Tamandua tetradactyla: one gene and its partner. The protein of the gene in region 1 purifies or fractionates together with the protein of each later gene. This does not show direct contact. Links are inferred from orthologs where the notes say so. Each region holds a gene or a part of one and is shown in the gene's direction. Other genes may lie near its edges.

Region 1 (10,716 bases):
CTCTTCTGCATTTTCTGCCTCCCAGAGGTGCCACCCATGTAGGAAAAATTGATTGCAAGTTAGGAAGCCGCCACGTTGTTCCTCTCCTAGCAGGAAGCTAAAATGTCTCAGCTCTCTGAAGATGTTTGATGCTGGATTTCAAAATAAGAAGTCTACCCTCTCTTGGCCATCATGGTATTTTGGGTGCTTCTTTTCATGGGATCTGTTGAGAATGGCCGTACAGTGTAGTTCAGCTTTGGGGTTCACTTGTGGGAAGTCGTACATCGGTCCCATTTTTGGGGTCTGACCTACGTTACGTGTTTGTGGGACTGTTATTATAGAGGGTTGTTTCCTAAAACCATTTTCAACCTCAGTTCTAGAAGAACGGTCTCTTCTATTTTCTCCTGCAAATCCCTGTAGGGAAAGAAATGTACCCCGGTTTAGGTCCTTCAGAGACCCAGGCACAGGTTGGTTCTCTGAAAGTTTCAGTCCATCGGTACATTTTACCTTGATGGTGGTCAATCCTTCACTGATGATTGGAGACGAGTGTGGAAAGCGTGCCTCGCGTGGGGGGGACGAGTGTGAGTGTGAATGTGATGTTACAGTCCCCTGAACCCCCACTCTCCTGGGAGCCTGGAGAGCCAGTGTTTCACAGGCCTCTTCTTAAACAGCTTTTTGAAATACAATTTAATCATCATCCATTCACCCACTTACAGTGTACGATTCGATGATTTATATATAGTATGTTCATAGAGTCATGTCGTCTGAGTCACCACAGTGAAGGTTTAGCACAATTTCATCACCCCAAAAAGATCCCTCATGGCATCAGCGCCGCCTCCTATTTCCTGCCCCTCCCAGGTCCTGGTCGCCACTGACCTGTTTCTCTTTCAGTGAATTTGCCTGTTCTGAACGTTTGGTATAAGTGGAGTCATATACCCTGTGACTTTTTATATCTGGCTTCTCTCACTGAGCACAGTGTTTTCAAGGTGTGTCCCTATCGTAGCGTGGGTGCGCATCTCCTTCTGTTTCACGGCTGAATAATGCTCCGTTGCATGGATGGACCACACTTTTTCTAGCCGTTTGTTACTTGGACACTTGGGTTTCTGCTTTTTGTCTGCTATGAATAAGGCTGCTCTTAACGTATGTTGTGTGTGTTTGTGTGGATTTGTGTCTGTTTTTCTTGGGTGCACACCTAGGAGTGAAATTGCTGGGTCAAAGGGCAGCGGCTTTGTGGAAGGCGCAGGACATACCCAAGTCCCTCCACTCTGCTCCTTTGACCCCTCGTCTTTCCTGCCAGCTACTGTCCTGCCTCTAGCAGCTTCCTCAAAGCTTCCTCAAGAAGCTTCCTCAAGCTTCCTCGAAGTATCAGAACTCAAGTCTTGGTTTCTTTTCCTCCACCGTTGCCCTCTGCCAATTCCAGTTTGGCTCCCACCCAGTCCTTCCATGTCACTGGTTCTCACTTCTCATGGCTCCCTTGTTGCTTTCTCTGGCCGAGGCTTCCAGTTTTCAGCTCACCTGATCTCAGCACTACCGGACCTGGGTGATCATTTTCCCCCTGGACACTCCCTTCTTTTGACTTTTTTGCCAACATACTCTTGATTTCCCTCTTACTTCTCTGACAGTTCCTCCTCCTCCTCTTTCTTAGCCATCAAGTGTTAGGGTTGCTGAAAGCTTGTCAGAGACATTTTCCTCATCTCCTCCGGAATCTTCTTTTCCTGGGTGATATACATCACCTGCCTCTGTAGCTTAATGACTCCCAAATTTACCTTTCCAACCCTGAGTTACGAAGCAGATAGCCACCTGCCTACCTGTTGTTCCATGGGTGTCAAACTTGACATGTGCAAAACTGATTTCACATCTCAGCACCCCTCTCTGCCAAGAAATGGAACTTCTGCCATCCTCCCTGGCGAGTGAGCCCTCTGCCAGTTGTCTAAGCGACAGATACGGGACTCATCCTTGATTGTGGTGCCTCCTGTGTCATTTTCTTAAAGTGGAACATCATCCTAACTGTCGGTCCTCCCCAAGCTGTCCCTCTTGATTGTAGCCGTCTTTTGGCCAGTTTCACTGCCTCTGCCTGCCACACTTCCCCCACCCCCCATGCTTGCGAAAGGCATTTCTGCTCAGGCCACTCTCTCTTCTACTTGAAACTCTTAAGTGCTTTCTCATTGGTTTTAGGATGAAGATCAAAATCCTAAAATCCTCATCCTGGGCGGCCCCCGTCTGCCTCTCCAGCCTCCTCTCTTGCCGTGTTATACCCTGACCTTCCAGGGCGTTGGCAGAGCTATCTCTGGCCCCTGGGCCTTTGCTCATACTTGGAATGTTCTCCTTTCTCCCTTCTCCTCTCAGCTCCCCTCTATCCATCTATTTCAAGGCCCCAAATGAGGCTGAGGTCTGCCTTTTGCTTATGCTCATCACTTTTTTTCCATATGTCTTTTCTCGTCCTTGTACAGTAAGAATTTTTGAGCAAATGAATGAATGTCTTGGCTTTGTATATCTGATGGATAGAACTCTTATCCTGGAGAATGAAGGAAAATCTTTCGGGCTAGAGAGACTGACTTTGTTTCCATGATGATCCAGTGTCTGGAAATAATTATCCATGCTCAAATGACTGCTCTCTTTGAAATGATTGGTGGCCTGCCTTTCTTTTCCTTTGAGAGAGAGACATGATGCCCTTTGAAATGGTTCTGTTCCTTCTGATTTCTTTCCTCCCCAATGTTTTAATCCCACTTTGAGCAGATCTTTCAAACACACACGTCCAGTTGTCCACTCCTGCTTTAAATTTCCAGTGGCTTCTCGAGACCACCGTCATCACGGCTTTTCTCTGTGTGTCCTTGCTGGTCCGGCCTTGGTCAGCACAGCTGCGGCCCTGCAGACCTGTCCCTCCTACCCAGCCTGCCTGGCTTGCCACACTTGTGCCTTGCTGAGTCACCTTGCAGCTCCTTCCAGCTGCTTCCTGAGCCGCCCCCTCGCCTTGTCCACACCCGTGAGGTCTTGTCCTTCTCTCTTAGCCCCCCACATACTCCGTCCTAAAGAGGAACCTTTTGGGTGTCAAAGTCAGCCGAATGGTCCCTTCAGTTGCCCACGAAAGCACTGTCATCAGCTCACATCAGGAGTTCTTATGCATACTAAATCAAGGCTTGAGAATTTCCAGACAAGACTAAAGGAAGAATCAAAAGCAAGGCCACATACTCATTTCTGAGCATCAAATCATTCTGCCTGTAAGAAAACTACTGAATCCTGAGAGCCTGTGGGAGGGAGGGAGCTTCGTAGGTGCTCCTGCCCTCCTGCCATCCCTGCTGCCCGTCGGTGGATAGTCAGCTTCTCCAGCCCTGTTGTCCAACACAGTAGCCACTGACGGCGTGTGATGGCTTACGTTTACATTAATTAATTGAAATTAAATGAAATAAATTCAGCCCTCAGTCTCACTAGCCACATGTCAAGTCTTTACAGGCACATGTGGCTGCCACACCACGCAGCACAGAGTGTACAACTTTTCCACTTTAATCTCGGGCACCTCTTTAACATGGGGCTGCCAGTTAATAGCTGCTCAGTAGATGTGGTTTTTTTTAATAAAGCTTATCTACCGAGAAATGTAAATTGACTTTAAGGGCAAAAAAAAAAAAAAAAAACCAACACACAAAAAAACCAGTTTATTGAATTTTCCTTCCAGTGCATAAAAATCAGTGTTACAACTGGACAAAATATACAGTGATAAAAAGCTGAAAATCCTCTCCTGCCAGGTAGCCAGGCCAACAGCTCAGTGTGTTTTCACCTACACTTTTGTCCTGTCTGTGGTTATAAAGACATAAGATCTATACCATGCGGACATAATGGAATTGGACTTTTTAGAATGCAGCCATCCTAGCAAAGCATCCCCCACCTCTGACTTCTCTACTTATTTTCTTCCCTTTTTTTGCTTTCTCCTGCCCCGTTAGATTCTTAAAGCAGTTTTTAAGTTTAGATGTAATTGTATAAAAGGTAAGAGAAACGGAGACCTTGACAAATGGGAGTTTGCCTTCCGTCCCCAGAGTACCCCCTGGAAGGTCCCTGCATGTGGAAGTGCCATCCCATGTGGCTGGATCTTCTGATTTTTTTTTTTTTAACAGAAAAGTAAGAGTCTGAATTTTTTCATACAGCTTCTCCCAAATTAAGAAAAAATTATCACGGTAAAATAGATATAACGTGACATTTGCCATTTAACCATTTTTAAGTGTACAGTTCAGTGGCATCAGTTATATTTGCAACGTTCCACAACCATCACCACTCTCTATTTGCTAAACTTTTCATGAACCCTAACAGAAACTCCGTACCCATTAAGCAGTGATCTCCCAATGTCCTCTCCCCCAGGCTCTGGTAACCTCTAATCTGCTTTCTGTCCTTCATGAATTTGCCTGGTCTGGATAGTCACATAAATTGAATTTTTTAATATCTGCCCTTTGGTGTCTGGCTTATTTCACTCAACGTGGTGCCTTCAGGGCTCTTCCATGTCATTTGCATGCGTCCCAGCTTCATTCCGCTTTATGCCGTAACTTTCCCTTGTGTATATACTCCACGCTCTGATTCCCCGCTCATCTGTTGGTGCACGCTAGGTGTGTTTCCACCTTCTGGCACTTGTGAATAATGCTGCTGTGAACACGGTGTGCAAGTGTCTATTTGAGTTCCCGTTTTCAATTCTTTACACACCTAGCAGTGGAATTGCTGGGCTCCTAGGCTGGTCTCTCTTTTTGAGAAACTGCCAAATTGTTTTCCTCTCTCCTTTTAAGAGCCACATCTGGCTGTGGATGACTCCGGCCTGCCGCCCTGCCGGCCTGTCGTTGGCCACCTCCGGTCTAGGCGGTGGCTGTAGGGCCTCCTCGATCGGTTTCCTTGTCACTGACCACTCCCCTTCTGTATCACTTTAGTTTATGTGGCCTACTGTCACGTGACTCTCCTCTTAGGTCTGACCTGCTCGTGTCCCCATCTCCTTGAAGATTTCAGTAACTCCCATCTCTGCTCTTCCTTTAGGGGCTGCCCTGCGGCTCGCATGTCCACTTCTTGGGTTGGGACCAGGTGCCTTAGTAGTTGGTGAGCGTTGAGGGACATCTTGCCCGACAGACCTGTAGCTTTAAATTCTAGACTTATCTAACCCTGGCTAGATGCTGACACTGAGAAACCTGAGGGAACCTAGAAGGAGGAGGACAGAGCAGATTTAATGCCTCTTGCCTCATGCCCATTGAGTGGGATGGGGAAAGATGAACTTGTAAAATAATTTTTTACTTTCCCTTTTCCGAGGCTGAGCCCTCATTGCTTTGCATTGCACAGGCAGAAATGGAGACACAGGAGGCGGGGGTCAGGGGGAGGTGCTGGGCAGGGCTTCTCACACTTAAAAGGACAAGAACCCAGGACTAAAAAATGTGGTGAAGTGGTGAGCTCTGTGGGAGGTGGGAAGCCTCTCTTAGCAGGGAGTGTGTTTTCCATGGGGAAAATCATTGTTTTCTTTGGTAAATGACTCTGAAACAATAGCTCTGAAAGTATGGGTGACCTGAGAAAATCTCCTAGTCCCCCTCCTCACTTTTCAACAATCACTTTCTGCATAGAAGTCCTTATTTAGGGAACCTGGAACCCTTGTGGGGAAATGGCCCTTTAAGCAAGAGGCAAGAGTGGATGGAGCCCTGTAGAAAAAGGGAATTTTCTGCTCTAGTTTTTTATTTTCTGACTCTGAAATGGCCAGCTTCCCTTGTGTGATCTGCCCCATTGATTCTGCAACCCTCCTGCCGTTTGGGTTTGCTGGGAGAGATTCTGAGTCTGGGGACGAAAAGCTGGAGTGGCCTGTGGGTCAGGCCCGGCTGGCCCACGGGGGGCCTTTGCTGCCCCCTCCGGGGCTTGTTTTTTGCACCCTCATGTGTTTACGGGGCCGTGTACCAGGCCTGTGCTACAGCAGAGAAGGACAGTTAGGTAAGGTGAAGCACACTTCTGGGGGAGGCACAATAAACAAAGAGAGAAAATTGCTTTTAAGGTGGAAGTTACATAATAAGGAGTCTGGAGGCAGGGGGAGCTCCCAGAAGGCCTCTGCCGGGAGATGACGTCTTAGCCAAAAGCTCAGAGTTGCCTGCTATGGAAGGCTGGGGCATGGAACACTCTAGATGGAGGAGCCAGCAAGTGCAGCTGAGCTTGGCTTGTTGTGCGGAGCAGAAAGGAGACCTTTATGGTTAGAGCTGAGCAAATGGAGGAAAAAAGGTGAGCAGGACCCCATCAGTTGGGGCATCTAGGTCTTGAAAATGTTGGGTCTTGTATTCCAAGAACGAAGGCATATCTTGGAGGGAAGAAGGAGGAGAGGGTCTTGTTAGGTTTGAAGAAGGCTGATGGGGGGCAGGTGAGGGAGCAGGCCAGCCAGTGGGCAGTCACAGGGCTTGGATGAGCCTGGCACCTGTGAAGTAGCAGGTGTTACTGCATCCAGGTACCTGTCTGGATTAAGGCCGCGTTTGAGCGAGGCTCTGAAGGTTGGACCGAACTTGGATAGGGCAGAAGTGATGGCTGGGGAAGGAAAACATCTTGGCCGAGGCGTCTTCATCCAAACCTTGCAAGGTTTGACATTCTTCGGTGCATTTGGGACTCAGAGAGAGGCCACACAACCCATCGAGTCTGGACTTGATCTACTCAAGGATCAGTACCAGACTCCTTGGGCCTTGGGCCTCACTTGAGTAGGGAGAAACTTGCATTTATTTTGGAAATAAGGTCAATTAGGGAGGGTGGGGCTGGGATTGTGGCCTCCCCGGAGAGAAAGCCTGAGCCCTGGGGGGATTGTGAGTCTGGTTTGGTGGAACCTGTGCCAGCTGGAGAGAGTTTCCTGTAGAAGTTTTGTGTTTCTCACCAGGTGACTCTCTTTTCCTGGAACGGCTGGGAAGAACTAGTCCAGTGCAAACCATGGTGAAGATACCAATGGGTGTGGGGAAGCTCGAGGTTTCTGGGTTGTCTGCTCTGGCACCTGCTTACCCTAGTGGGTTTTAATAATAGTAACAGTCCTTGGTGCTTTGATATGCCAGATGCTGTTCCCTACATGTATTATGTCATTTAATCCTAAGAACCCTTTAGAGGAAGATCCCATGTTATACCCATTTTATAGCTGCATTGACTGAGGCACAGAGAGACTAACAGTGTGTGCAGGGGTGCATAGCGGGCAGATGGCGGCACTTGGATTCATAGCTACCTAGGGGTCTGGCCCCGGAGCCTACGCTCCTGGCAGAGGCTGTCTGTGTGGGCTTCGGCCTCGTGCTGGGAGTCATCAGGTGCCGCTCACGTCAGGGAGGCAGGTGACCAGGTGACCGGTGCAGGTGAGGGCTGTGGCGTTAGACCCAGCCAGGATGGAATCCCCGGCATGCCCGTGCCCCCCGGGCTTTATGCGCATAAGTGAGTTTGCCCTCCTGAGCTTCACCTGTAAAATGGGGATAGAAGCAGCATCATGACCTTATGCAATTCATAAAGTAGCTCCTCAGTAAATAGCAGCTGTGAATTGCATGAGCCTGGTTTGAGAAGGAAATACAGAAATGTTTCCTAGCTACCCCACTTCCCTCTGTACATACACAAACTCCTGTTGTTCCCCTCCGCCCCAGCTTTTTGTCCATCTGTAACCGGTTTCTCAATCATTCTACATTTACTAGCCACTTTTCCCCGTGGGCCCCTTTCTCTTGGACCTCAGTTTCTTTGCTGATTACATGGGGATATTCTCGGTACACACCACCTCGAAAACTGCAGTGTAAGTCAGTCCATAGGTGTCTTTTAGAATATGCCTTGCAGATCCGAAAGGGCTGCACAAAAGGAAGCTCTTTTCTCTTTTTTTCCCCCGCTCTTGTTCCTGACTCCCTGCCCATGAGGATGGACCTGCCGGCTCCCCTGGCAGCACGGATGTCCATAGTTGCTCAGTTCTTATTTGTTGACTCACTGGTCCTGTTCCTTTTCTCTTTTTGATAGCTGAAGTCAGGCTGAGTGGAAGAAGCATTAGGCATCGTTTTCCTTCTTCATGGGTGCACATGCCGCCAGGCGTGGATTATTTATTTACACAAGGAAGTTTCCTTGCACCGGGGTTTCTCAAGTCTTGCCATCGTGGGCTCCTGTGGCTGAGTCAGTCCTTGTCGTGGGGGGCTGTCCTGTGCATCGCGGGATGCGCAGCAGCATGTCTGAGCAGCCCCTTCTGAGGGGCACCCGATGGGTGCTGGAAGCTTGTATTGAGAGCCTACTGACAGCCCGCTGGGGTAGGCCCTGCAGATGGGGACCGTGCCTGGGCCTCTGTGTGCCTGGCGGGTAGTGAGAGAGAGCCCCCAGAATGTTATCTGTTCTTATCTGTGGACCCCACAGCCATTTAAAAGTATCTGCAGTTAAATACAGCAACATGACCGCAAAGACTTCGAAGCGGAGTCCTGCAGGTATAGTTTCCTGCGTGCTCTTCCAGCCCTTTCTAAACGCAGACCCCTGTTTCTTTTACACGGACTCTATTTCTGGCCTTTTTTTTCACTTGGATTTCATTCTGTGCCAGTCCATACAGTGTGGTTCCTCTATGGCTGCATCATAACCTATCGCATCGCGGTCTGCTGTTAGTGGACCTTGAGGTTACTTCCCGTCTTCTCTCGAAGGACCGCTGTGAGGTGGCTGTAGAAGCCTACCCTTGCACAGAGAACTTTCTTGTCTCCGTTAAGGTGACTTTGGAGAGGCCAAATGGGAAGCAGGGGCCCCCGGGGCGTGGAGGGACGTTGCTCGGTTCCCAGTGGCGCTTCCTTTATCTACCTCCCTTTCGACGAAGCCTCTTTCCTTCCCTTCCCTTCTCTCAGCTCTTCTGTGCTTCAGCTGCTGCTGGCACAGAACTCTTTTTGTCTCTGAATTGGTTCTCCGATGCCGCAATTCCCTGTTGCAGTTTGAAAGCCACGGGCACCTGAGCTTTCCTGAACCCGAGCGTGGCTGGGGGATGGGAGGGTGAGGCGAGATTGAGACGGGAATGCTGTCCCTGCCCCCGGCACCCCCCAAGGCCCGCCCTGGCCGAGTCCCTGGAGCCGGGATAAATAATACAAATGGGTCTCAGCCGCCAGAACCCCTCTGCCAGCCCTCATTAGCCACCTCCGATGTGAGGGCCAAAAGCAACCGGTTCTTCCACATTCTCCTGGGTGATTTGGTCGGGTCTGCAGGGCCTCAGATAATGCGCACACATTCGTCGCCGCTTTCTGGGGCTGCCGAGGGGTGGGCGCCGGCCGCGGTTTCTTGTAGGGAGCTGGGCTCCGCCCCGGGCCCCCTTTGTGAGGTTTGACCGAGGTTGGAATTCTTGAACCAGGAAATTCCTGTTGAGATGTCCTTTTTCCAAAAGGCCTCATCCCAGCTAGGAGGAGGAAAAGGGCAGCCCGCGTCGCAATTGGCTCTGTGGTTGTTGAGAGCTAAACACTGAATTCATTTGTAAATCAGCCTCGTTTCCAGAGATGGAAGCAATTTCGGTCCTGCCAGGCTAGTTTGGAAGTTCACCTTTTACATATGACTGTGCCCTTTAATTGCCACTTCTGCATTATTGTGTGTGTGTGAGAGAGAGAGAGAGAGAGAGAGAGAGAGAGAGAGAGAGAACAAGAGAGACACACACGCAGTCATACAGGGTGCGTGTGGGAAAGGATGGCTTTCTTGTTTCCAACACAGGCACATCACAACTAAAGATCATCTGAATTAGTTACAAATTAAAAAAAAATACCTTAAATACAACCACAACAGCCCCCCCCCACCCCCCTTCTGATATTCTTGCTTCAATCAGCAGAACCACCCTGATTTGGTTTGTTGATTCGCATCTGGTGAAATAAGTGGCTCTTGAGTGCTGTGTACTGAAGACTTCCCTCCTAGCCGAGTTGCTGTCGCGGGCGATGAGTTAGAGCCACAAGCCGGGGACATTGAGGCAGGTTGCTGCCCCTCCGAGGTGGTGGCGGACCCCATGCGCAAGACCAGGGCTGGCCTGGCGCGCGGGGCCTCCGAGTCTGGCCTCTCTGCTGCTTCCTCCTCCCCCTGGGAGAGGCCGCTGAGGATCCGGAAGCAGGAATGTCTGTCGTGTGTCAGCCTCTGCTCTCTGCGAGTAGGGAGGCCGGGCCCCCCGCGCCGCGCCGCTCTCCCCATGGCAGGTAAGTGCCCGCGCACGGCTCAGGCATCTGGGCCCTGGGCATCTCTCTCCCAGGCTTTGCCTCTGGAGCTCACGGGGTTCCCGGTCCAGTGACATTTCCCTACGTTGAGAAAGGCCCCTTTGTCCCACTGCCTCGTTTCCACGCCAGCTCTGCTGTCCCTGGGTCTGGAGGAGCCGTTGGCAGGCGGGGCCTTTCAGAGGCGCGGCACAGTCCCCGGTGCGGCCAGCCCTGCTGCAGGAGCTGCCCGGCCTCTGCGGTGTAGACGCGCAGGGCTGGAGCAGGTGACAAGGGTTTCCGCCCGCAGGTCTGTCCCCTTTGCTTAGGCATTCTCTGCTGTAAGAGGAGAGTCACCCGTTTCCCACCCCATCCCTCGCTCCCCACTTTCCATTCCTGCTCCCTTCCCCGGAGGACATTCCCTGCTTTTGTTTCATGATGATGCAATGATGCAATGACTAGCTGGGAGGACCTGCAGGTCTGGGGTAGAGAGGCCTTCTGGGTATCTGCTCTGTGTCTGCATTTGCTGCGTGCCCTGAAATGATGAGCCCATCTCTGCTTTCCTGCTCCTGGGAGAGCAGCGTGTGGCCCTGTTTGAAGCAGGCTTTGGGGAGGCCTGGCAGTTACG
Region 2 (10,716 bases), on another chromosome or scaffold:
CCTTTGCTGGGTTAAGTTCATATGAAGAAAACCCAAGATTGCGGGTTCAGCCTATTGCTTTGGTTATCCCCACTGCTTGTGAGAATATCAAGAATTCTCTACTTGGGGAAGTTTCATTTTCCCCCTCTCTCACCATTCCCTAAGGGGACTTTGCAAATACTTTTTTATTCACTGTTCAAATCCTTCTGGGATTTATCAAGGCATCACAGAGTCATCATTTTTTAATAGGTAACTCAGGCCACCTTTTGACTCACCAAAGATAAGTCACTTTTGATGGCTTTCCAACTCATCCTAAGAAAAAGCTAAAGTCCTTCCAATAGCCTCCAAAACACTCTGTCGCCTAACCAACTCCTCCGGCCCCCTGACCTCTCATACTTTCACCCCAGGACCTTTGCACTGCTTTCTCATCCCAGGATGCTCTTGTCCCTTACTGCTGCACACTCCCTCGCTCCCCTCCTGGCCTTTACTTAATTCCTCTTTTCCGAAAGGCCTTTACTTACATTCTATCTATAATTGCAACCTTCCATACTTTTCTACTCTCCTTCCTTGCTTTAATTTTCTCCTTGACAATTATCACTGTCTAACCTGCTTCTTAATATTTCTTAGTTATCCTATTTATAGTCTGCCTTCTCCACAGGAATGTTTCATGAGGGCAGCGATTCTTGTGCGTTTTGTTCACTGCTGTATCCCCAGCGCCTATAGCACTCCTTGATCCACAGAAGGGGCTCAAGAAATCTTTGTTGAATTAAAATATTTCTTAATGAATGATCGTTCATCTAATCGAACAGCAAACCTATTCAGATCCCTCCCACCACCGTATCTCTGAAATACAGTGTTTAGCTTTCTGGACACTTTCAATTTCGGCTCCACTGCTCCAGACCTGACCTGCCGGCGCCTCGGTGAAGCGGAGCTAGGTAACAGCACCTCCCTCACAGGGTTGCAGGAAGGATTAATAGCTCGTGGTACGTGCGTGTGAACAGGCCCTGCTATTATTCGGTGCAGGGAGAAGCGGGGTGAGCAGGTGGGAAGGGGATGCGGGTCTGACATGAGGGGGCTGGCGGCTCGGAGCAGCCCGGGCGCCTCAAGAAGGCGGGCGGGCGGGGGGCGTTGCGCTGCGGCCAAGCACTTCACAAAGTACTTTTACTTTCTTCACTCATATTCCTCAGAAACAAATCTTGGCAGGTGGGTATTCGAATCCTCGTTCTACCGTTGGAAACGGCGAAGACGTGCCCGAGTCCCGGCAGGTTCCAGCCCGGGCGCCCTGGCCACAGCGCCCGCAGCCTTCCGGGGGACGGCCCGGGTCGTCGGCCCGAGACCCCGGGTTCGGCTACAAAGTCACTTCAGACGCGGCGCTCGGCTGGGGGCGGCAGAGGGCGGTGGCCTTCGGGGGGCCTCGGGACGAGGCGCGAGGACCCTCGAGAGGAAGGGCGCACGCGAGCGCCGACGCTCTAAGGGAAACGCAGCTCCTCTCCGCGCAGCCCCTCCCCTGCCCCGCCCCCACGGGGCGGGGCGGCAAAGCGCGGGAAACGCGGTCTCGGCCCTCCCCCTGCCGCCGGGGGCGGAGAAAAGGAGCGATCTTAAACGGGAATTGGAGTGGGTCCCGCTCCCACGCTTAGGAAGCCGACCAGTACGGCGCTTTAAGGCCTTCGGAAATGGCCGAGGCCACGCCAGCACCCGAGCGTTACCTCCTCCCCACTTCCGGTCTTCACGCTGGTCTCAGGCCTCCGCCCCCAGCGAAGCTCTCCTTCAGAGGGAGATGCTGGGGTGACGCTTTCGCCCAGGAGCTGCCCGCGCGACGCCGAGGGGCGGAAGACTCCCATACGTTCGGCTTATATGACGATTCTGACAGTTGAGAAGCCGCGAAGAAACGGTCAACCAGATGACGTAATGTTTTGGGTGTCGTCCCATTCGTGACGTCACGCACGGCATGACAGATTGCGGGTTAGCTTGAAAACGGATCCGCAAACGGATCTGCACATCCGCGCCCCACTCAGAAATCGACTTGGCTCTTCTCAGCATGCCCACCAAATGACTGAGAATCCTTTCATTTGCATAAGGGAACTGCAGGCTTAGAGGAGCGCAGCCAATGGGCAGTGAGGTGCGAGAACGCACCTGGACGACTACCGCCTCCAACAGGAAAGCGGAATCCCAGCTTGGCTTTTCTCTAAGCGACAGTAGCATCTACCAGTAGCTTTGAGACGCACAGCCCGGGCAGGTGGGCGCCGGCGCGACCAATGGGGAGAGGCGGCTTCAGAGGGCCTCGGGCCCCTGCCCAATGAGGGTACGAGGCCTGTGCGGGGCGAGCCCAGAGCGGCAGTGCTTAAGGCCAACCGTGCGCGGGATTGGGAGGGGCGCGGGCCTGAGCGACGGGGGCGCTGTCCAATGGCGAGTGTGGAAGCGGGCTGCCGCGACCCGGCGCGCGGAGGGACCTGAGGTGGGGGGGGGAGGCTGAACGGGAGAGAAGCAGGAAGTAGCGGCGGCCGCGGGGAGGGCGGCGGCGACGGCGGCGGCTGGAGCAGGGCAGAGACCGCCGCGTCCCGGCGGGCCTCGGAGCGGAACGAGTAAGGTTGCTTGGGGTGAATACCCGCCCCCGGCCCCGCCCCCCGGGGGGCGGCCAGGCCCGCCCCTCCCCCACGGGGCTACCTACCCCCCTCTCCGCACCGCCCCCCTGGGGCGGCCCCTGGGAAGGCGCTGCCACCCCTCGTCCCTTGCGGCGGGGGTCGGGGTTCCCGGCCCGTGGAAAGCACAGCCCCCAGCCCCCAGCCCCCAGCCGGGCGAACGTGGCAGGGGTCGGGGACCCCGAGTCCCGGGGCCGCCGGCTCCAGAGGCGCCCAGCGCGCGGCCGGGGACCGAGGCTGCGGGATGTCGCGACCCAAGATGGTGCCCGGGCGGGGGCGGGGGCGGGGGCGGGGGCCCGGCCGGAACGGATCCTGCTCCCGGACTGCGCGCCAGCCGGCACCGGGGGGACGGGACGCAGGCTGGCGCCCGGGGCCGCCGCACCGCGTCCGATCTCTCCCCCTCTCGAGAGACCGTCCAGAGTCCGGCGGGGAGGAGGTTGTGCCGCGCTGGAACGGGAGGCGAGGAGGCAGGAGTTGGGGCGAACCCCGGCCGGAGGACTGAGAGTCGCGCGGGGGTCGCTCCCCGCCGCCGGTGTCTGCCGCGGGCCCCGCGCCGTCCTGGCCCGCCGGTGCTGCGCCGCACCCCCAAGGGGCCTGGCCTGACCTGGCCGGGGCCCGGTCTTGCCTTCGCACGCCGCTGGGAGCGAGAGAAGTGCTGCGCGCCTCAGTTTCTCCTCTGGCACCTGTGCACACCCCGCCCCCTCCCAGCAGCTCCGGACGTGCGGCCCGCGCCGGCCCTCGGCAGATGGCAGGGACTTAACTCCGCCCGCTGCCCAGCCTGGCCGCAGGCTAATCGGCCGGGGCCCCTCGCCCTCCTGTCAGCGCTCACTGCGCAGCAGGCCGGGGCCCAGGCAGAGGGCAGTGTAGCCCTCACCCAACCCTCGCCAGGTCACCCTCTTCCTGTTCAGCCCCTTCCTTTGGCTTTTGGGGAAGAGCAGAGGGAAGGGGCTGGGGGATGGGGGTGCACGGGATCCCAAGAGGCAGGGCCCTGCAGCCGCAGGAAGGCCTGGTCCGAGCCTGAGCAGTGGGGTGGGAGGGGTGGGAGGGGTGGGAGGGCCTCCTCGGCCTTGAGCTGCGCGGCTTAGTCTGACTATCGCATGACCTCTAAGTGTTTTGGACGTCAGAGGGAACGGTGGCTGGGGGGGCGAATTCTCAGGTGTTTATCACAGTCCGCTGGTCTTGCACCAACAGCCCACTTTTCTGGGGACCTGAGTGGGAGCTTCGCGCAGGCTTCTCCAGGTTGGGAGGGAGCCAGGCCGAGGAGGGCCTTTGCCGTCCATCAGGGGTGAAGGGCTTTGTTTAAACCGAGTCTGTAGAATTGAGGGGGAGGGGGAAAGGAAGACTCTGCTTTCTGCCTGTAGTTGGTACCCTCTCCCCCCACCCCCACCTTGGTCCCAGCAATGCCAGCTGCCACCTGCTGGGGCTATCTCCAGTTACAGTCTAAAGGCTGGAAAGAGGTGGTGGAATTGGCCCTGGGAAGTGGCTTGCTTGCTTGTGTCTTGAACAGGGAGTATGTAAGAATAGAGATATTTTCAGTTGTTTCTTCCTAGATAAAGAAACACTTGTGGGGAGATACTGCTAGGTTGACGGACTTGGGTTCCTTCCACTCTCTAAGCTCGCCTTCTTGTTGGTTGAGTGCCTCGTAAGGCCCACATAAATCTTGTGGGATTTTGGGTACTGTTCTGGGCTAGGTAAGGTGAAATTTCCTGGGCTACTATTGCCAGAAGAAAATTAAAAGTGTGAGGAGTTTGGGTTAAGGAATAAACTGGTGGGGGGGGGGAGCTCAGAGCAGAAACTGCAGGCTTGAGGGAGCCTGGCTTTTCCCCATGGTGCCTGACTGTGGTGGATAAGCTTGTACCCTGGAGTTTTAGCCCTCAGAGAGCAAGATGAGAAGGGAGGTGGGGAGCAGGGCTGGCTGGGGGCGGGCCCAGGCACTCTGGGGAAGATAGGTGAGCGAGCAGCAGGTGTTTGTGACAGGACCTGCATAGCCTGGGGCCTTTGTGACCAGGGTGCTGTCACTGTTTTCCTCTCTTTCTTTTCTTTGTCTCTTTCTGTTCCTGTGTCTTTTTCTTACCTTTTCAGTCTCTTAGGTAATTTCTCAGTGTCCTTTCCCCTATGTTGACCAACATGGATCTCCAGTTGCCAGGGATGACCCCAGCTGTCCCAGACTTAACCTTACATGACTCTTGACAATTGTCTCTGACCCCAATCCTAGATTTCCAGTGTTTATTCCTTCCCAGCTCTTCCTTGACCTGACATACCCGTGTTTGACCCAGCTATGATAATAAATTGTATTCCAGGTTCTGAGTCTCACAGTTTCATATCATGCTCAGAATAGCCCTTTACTGTATGGATTACTTGCCCCTTCTTTGAAATGCAAAAGTAAGGCAGTGAAGTAACTTGCTTATAAAGCAAGGCAGTGATAAAAAACTGGAACAAGAATCATTTTTTATGTCTTGGTTTAAGTCACTGCCCCTTTGAACACATGGCCTTTCAGCTCTCTGTGGATCCCAGAAGATCCATGAAGAATATTAATTGATCTAATGCTGACATGAAAAAGCCCTTAAACCTAGAGCATAGTGTACTCCGCCTGCCTTGGAAATAGCATGGGTTAGTTTAGTTGGTTCTGGGCTGGGCACAGGGCAGGGAGAGGCAGTTTTAATCAAGATGCTCACTAAACTCACTCTGCTTAATATCTGTGTCTGTATTTCTGAGAGGTCTTTTCTCTGCTTTTTCTGGATCTGGGTATCTCCTGTGGTCTGTGTACAGTACCCCCTTCCAATTTTAGGGTCTGGCAAACAAGCCACCTCCACCAGCTCTCTAGGACTCAGGCTGTGGTGGAGCTGTATCCAAGTCCAGTTCTGAGAGGGGATAAGTATGGAGATCATGCAGGAGGAGGTCTAGGGTTCTTGCTTCCAGAGGTCTCAGTTTCTCCCTCTTTTTGTCTGTTTTCATCAGGTCTGGGACCTGCTGCCATGGGGGACATGAAGACCCCTGATTTTGACGACCTCCTTGCTGCCTTTGATATCCCTGACATTGATGCGAATGAAGCCATCCACTCTGGGCCAGAAGAAAATGAGGGGCCGGGAGGCCAAGGAAAGTCAGAATCCAGTGTGGGAGGTGAATCTGGAGAAGCAACAGCCGCAGCTGGTGGGGATGACCCTGGGGCTCCAGCCCAGGCCTGTGACCATGGCCTGCCACCTCCAGACATCTCGGCAGTCAGCGTCATTGTCAAGAACACTGTATGTCCTGAGCAGTCTGAGGCACTGGCTGGGGGTTCAGGAGAGGAAGGGGCCCGGAGCGGAGGGGTGACTAAGGAAGGACCTATGGGCCATCGTCTGATACAAAATGGTTTTGGGGGCCCTGAGCCATCCCTCCCAGGAACTCCCCACTCTCCAGCTCCTCCAAGTGGGGGTAGCTGGAAAGAAAAAGCCATGGAAGGCAAAGCTCCCTTAGATCTCTTTGCTCATTTTGGGCCTGAGCCAGGGGAGCATCCTGATCCCCTGCCTCCCTCAGCACCCTCCCCACCTCGGGAAGGGGCCATGACGCCCCCTCCTTTCCCCTCTCCATTTGAGCTGGCCCGGGAGAATGGCCCAGCCCTGCTGCCCTCTGATTCTTCCCCACCACTAGGGACTTTGAAACAGGGCAGCAGCAGCCCCCTTCATTCCCAGGGCCCAGCTCGGCTCAGCTCCAGCTCCAGCCCCGAGGCCACGGGCCTTCCTGCCAGCAGCTCACCTCCCCACGTTGCTGGGGTGCCTTTCTTCAAGCAGTCTCCAGGACACCAGAGCCCTCTTGCCTCTCCCAAAGTGCCCGGCTGTCGGTCTCTAAAGGAGGAGGAAGAAGATGATGAGGGGCCGGTGGACAAGTCTCCCCCAGGAAGCCCCCAAAGTCCTTCTAGTGGAGCTGAGGCTGCGGACGAGGACAGCAATGACTCCCCTGCGTCCTCCAGCTCCTCCAGGCCCCTCAAGGTGCGGATCAAGACGATTAAGACATCCTGTGGGAATATCACAAGGACTGTAACCCGGGTTCCCTCAGACCCTGATCCCCCGGCCCCTAGGACCGAAGGGTCCTTCCTGGCTGAGACTAACCTCCTGAAGCTGTCTCCAGCACCCCCAACTCCGGAGGGTCCTAAGGTAGTGAGTGTCCAGTTGGGTGATGGCACGAGGCTAAAGGGCACTGTGCTGCCTGTGGCCACCATCCAGAACGCCAGCACTGCCATGCTGATGGCAGCCAGTGTGGCCCGCAAAGCTGTGGTTCTGCCTGGGGGTAATGCCACCAGCCCTAAGACAGTGGCTAAGAATGTGCTAGGCTTGGTGCCCCAGGCCCTGCCCAAGGCAGATGGGAGAGCAGGGCTGGGGACAGGAGGGCAGAAAGTGAATGGTGCCTCAGTGGTAATGGTACAGCCTTCAAAGCCAGCCACTGGGCCAGGAGCTGGGGGTGGCACAGTGATTTCACGGACCCAGTCCAGCCTGGTGGAGGCCTTCAACAAGATCCTCAACAGCAAGAATCTGCTGCCTGCCTACAGGCCAAACCTGAGTCCACCGGCTGAGGCGGGGCTGGCCTTGCCTCCCACGGGCTACCGTTGCCTCGAGTGTGGGGATGCCTTCTCCCTGGAGAAGAGCCTGGCACGGCACTACGACCGCCGGAGCATGCGCATCGAGGTCACCTGCAACCACTGTGCCCGCCGTCTGGTCTTCTTCAACAAGTGCAGCCTCCTGCTGCATGCACGAGAGCACAAGGACAAGGGGCTTGTCATGCAGTGCTCACACTTGGTCATGAGGCCTGTAGCCCTTGACCAGATGGTAGGGCAGCCAGACATCACGCCCCTGCTGCCTGTGACTGTCCCCCCTGCCCCTGGACTTCCAGCCCTGCCTGCCCTGGGCAAAGGAGAAGGGGCAGTCACCTCCTCCACCATTACAACGGTTGCCACTGAGGCCCCCGTGCTGCCACTTTCATCTGAGCCACCTGCTGCTCCTGCCACCTCTGCTTACACATGCTTTCGCTGCCTGGAGTGCAAGGAGCAGTGCCGGGACAAGGCTGGCATGGCCGCCCACTTCCAGCAGCTCGGGCCCCCTGCTCCTGGGGTCACCAGCAATGTGAGTTGCCTTTCACAGACCTTCCCTGGGGAGGTGGGACCTATGAAGGGTTGGGGGTTGATTAGGAGAAGTAATGGGGGACATTTCACTCCTTACCAACTTACCTTGTTCCAATGCCCCCCAACAGGTATGTCCAACCTGCCCCATGATGCTCCCTAATCGCTGCAGCTTCAATGCCCACCAGCGCATGCATAAGAATCGACCCCCCCATGTCTGCCCTGAGTGTGGGGGTAACTTCCTGCAAGCCAATTTTCAGACCCATCTCCGGGAGGCCTGTCTGCATTTCTCTCGCCGCGTAGGATACAGGTGTCTCACAGCTCTGTTTTCTTGATATGCTTTTTATGTCTCCTAGCATCAGTCTTTTAAATGGTCTCTCAAGGAGAGCTCTGTTCTCTCCTGCTGTATCCCCCAGGTCTGTTGTGTTGGGAAGCTCAGCCTGACAAACCATATTCTGCCTTCCCATCATTCCCATGGAAATGGGGGATGCTGGCCAAGTCCCCCACCTCTGGAGCTCAAGCTCTCGAGGCCTTCCGTGAGAAAGTGAATCTCTATAGCTGCCTTCTTTCTCCATCTTGCTCATGCTCCACTGTTGATTTCCTCAAGTCTCAGAGTCTGCGCGGTCCCTAAGAATGAGTGTGGGATGGGGGGTGGGCATGGAGAAGCCCCCACCTCACCACAGTGCCTTCCACTTCCTTCCCAAGGTGCCCCAGCTGTTCAGTGGTATTTGGGGGCGTGAATTCTATCAAGTCCCACATCCAGACGTCGCACTGCGAGGTTTTCCACAAGTGCCCCATCTGCCCTATGGCCTTCAAGTCTGCGCCGAGCGCCCATGCCCACCTCTACACCCAGCACCCCAGCTTCCACACGCAGCAGGCCAAGTGAGACCTGGGGAGGGAGCGCCAGGAGGAGAGGCTGGGGCAGGGGTTGGGCCTTGAACAGGGCTGAATGGGGGAGGGCTCCTATCCCTGCCTGATGTCCGTGCTGTCCTTACACCTTTGTAGGCTGATCTACAAGTGCGCCATGTGTGATACAGTCTTCACTCACAAACCCCTCCTCTCCTCACACTTCGACCAGCATTTGTTGCCCCAGCGTGTCAGTGTCTTTAAGTGCCCGTCCTGTCCTCTCCTCTTTGCCCAAAAAAGGACCATGCTGGAACATCTCAAGGTGGGGGCTCCGCTGATAACAGATCTGGGGCTAAGTCATGTGACCATCAGGAAGTAGGGGCTGGGAGAGGTGAGAGCTTTGGCAAAGCCAGGCCTTCCCCTGCAACAGTCACCCCCTTGTCTCCCTCACAGAACACTCACCAGTCCGGGCGCCTAGGGGAGGAGACTGCTGGGAAAGGGGCTGGGGGTGCCCTTCTGACTCCTAAAACTGAACCTGAGGAGCTGGCTGTGTCTCGGGGAGGGGCAGCCGCCCCCACTGAGGAATCATCTTCGTCTTCAGAAGAGGAGGAACTGCCCAGCTCCCCTGAGCCCCCCCGTCCAACCAAGCGGCCTCGGCGGGAACTCGGGAGCAAAGGCATCAAGGGCGGGGGCGGGGGGCCTGGTGGCTGGACCTGTGGCCTTTGTCACTCCTGGTTCCCTGAGCGGGATGAATATGTGGCTCACATGAAGAAGGAGCATGGCAAGGTGAGTGGGCACTGAGGGGAACACAGTGGGCTGCAGGGGCATCACTGGGATTGGCCTGTGTGAGATCGGGAAGGGGGTCCTGGAGCCCAGCTCTGAAATCTCCCACCCCCTGCTCTCCTAGTCAGTGAAAAAGTTTCCCTGTCGCCTGTGTGAGCGCTCCTTCTGCTCCGCCCCCAGCCTGAGGCGCCACGTCAGGGTCAATCACGAGGGTATCAAGCGAGTTTATCCATGCAGGTAACCCTTGCCCCATCACCCCCTTCCTCTTTCTGCCCAGCAGGTGACCCTAGCCCCTCCCTCCCAAAGCTCCCTCCCACCTGCCTCCTGTCTGAGTGGACCGAAGCTGGAGGCTCCCTCTGCTCTGGCAGCTCCCTTCTCTCAGGAGCCATGGGCCTTGGTCTCGGGGCTGTGCCCCTGGTGCCCATTTTGCCCACTCTCTTCCAGGTATTGCACAGAGGGGAAACGTACCTTCAGCAGCCGCCTGATCCTGGAGAAACATGTCCAGGTCCGGCATGGCTTGCAGCTCGGGGCCCAGGCCCCTGGCCGGGGGAGTGCTCTAGCTCGGGGTCCTGGTGCCAGAGCCCAGGTAGGCAGAGGTCCAGCCTGCTGGGTGGGAAACTGCCTGGGGAAGTTAGGGTGATGGTACAACCCTGTGTGTCTTCCACTGTCTTCTCCAGGGGCCGGGACGGAAACGCCGCCAGTCTTCTGACTCTTGCAGCGAGGAGCCTGACAGCACAACCCCACCGGCCAAGTCCCCCAGGGGTGGACCTGGGGCTGCAGGCCATGGCCCCTTGCGCCACCGGAGCAGTGGCTCAGCGGAGCAGAGCCTCCTGGTCGGCTTGAGGGTGGACGGTGGTGCCCAGCAGTGCCTGGACTGTGGCTTGTGCTTTGCCTCCCCTGGCTCCCTGAGCCGCCACCGTTTCATCAGCCACAAGAAGAGACGGGGTGCGGGTAGCGCCAGTGCCCTGGGGCTGGGGGATGGGGAGGAAGAGGTGCCCCCTCCGTCAAGGTCTGACCTGGAGGGTGGCGATTCACCCTTGCCTGCCTCTGGAGGCCCGCTAACTTGTAAGGTCTGTGGCAAGAGCTGCGACAGCCCTCTCAACCTCAAGACCCACTTCCGCACCCATGGCATGGCCTTCATCAGGGCTCGGCAGGGGGGCAGTGGGGACAACTAGGCCCCAGGCCTGGGACTGACCAGCCCTATTCTCCTTCCCAGGAGCCTGAGTTTCACTGCTGCTGCCTGGTCCCTGGGCTTGGGGGGTTTTAAGATTCACATTCTCCACCTCAACCCCTCACCTCTCCAAGGGAGGAAAAAAAAGCTTTTGAGGATTATAGTTATTTGCAAGCCCCTCTTGGGTCTGGCACTTGGGTCCTAGT

Evidence for each region.
Region 2: the proteins of ZMYND8 (region 1) and ZNF687 purify together in Homo sapiens (affinity purification with mass spectrometry; 4 studies listed by BioGRID and IntAct, with this or other methods). This does not show direct contact. The link is inferred for Tamandua tetradactyla from reciprocal best matches to the Homo sapiens genes ZMYND8 and ZNF687.

What each region holds. Positions count from the first base shown.
Region 1 is NC_135327.1:5,017,960-5,028,675, forward strand, and holds the start of ZMYND8 (MYND-type zinc finger-containing chromatin reader ZMYND8), read left to right. Parts: upstream 1-5,206; 5' UTR 5,207-9,910; coding exon 9,911-10,094; intron 10,095-10,213; exon of another isoform or gene 10,214-10,398; intron 10,399-10,716. UniProt on the Homo sapiens protein: Chromatin reader that recognizes dual histone modifications such as histone H3.1 dimethylated at 'Lys-36' and histone H4 acetylated at 'Lys-16' (H3.1K36me2-H4K16ac) and histone H3 methylated at 'Lys-4' and histone H4 acetylated at 'Lys-14' (H3K4me1-H3K14ac).
Region 2 is NC_135330.1:4,159,138-4,169,853, reverse strand, and holds the start of ZNF687 (zinc finger protein 687), read left to right. Parts: upstream 1-3,688; 5' UTR 3,689-3,715; coding exon 3,716-3,857; intron 3,858-5,576; coding exon 5,577-7,714; intron 7,715-7,841; coding exon 7,842-8,020; intron 8,021-8,415; coding exon 8,416-8,592; intron 8,593-8,715; coding exon 8,716-8,878; intron 8,879-9,009; coding exon 9,010-9,342; intron 9,343-9,463; coding exon 9,464-9,576; intron 9,577-9,783; coding exon 9,784-9,925; intron 9,926-10,016; coding exon 10,017-10,514; 3' UTR 10,515-10,716. UniProt on the Homo sapiens protein: May be involved in transcriptional regulation.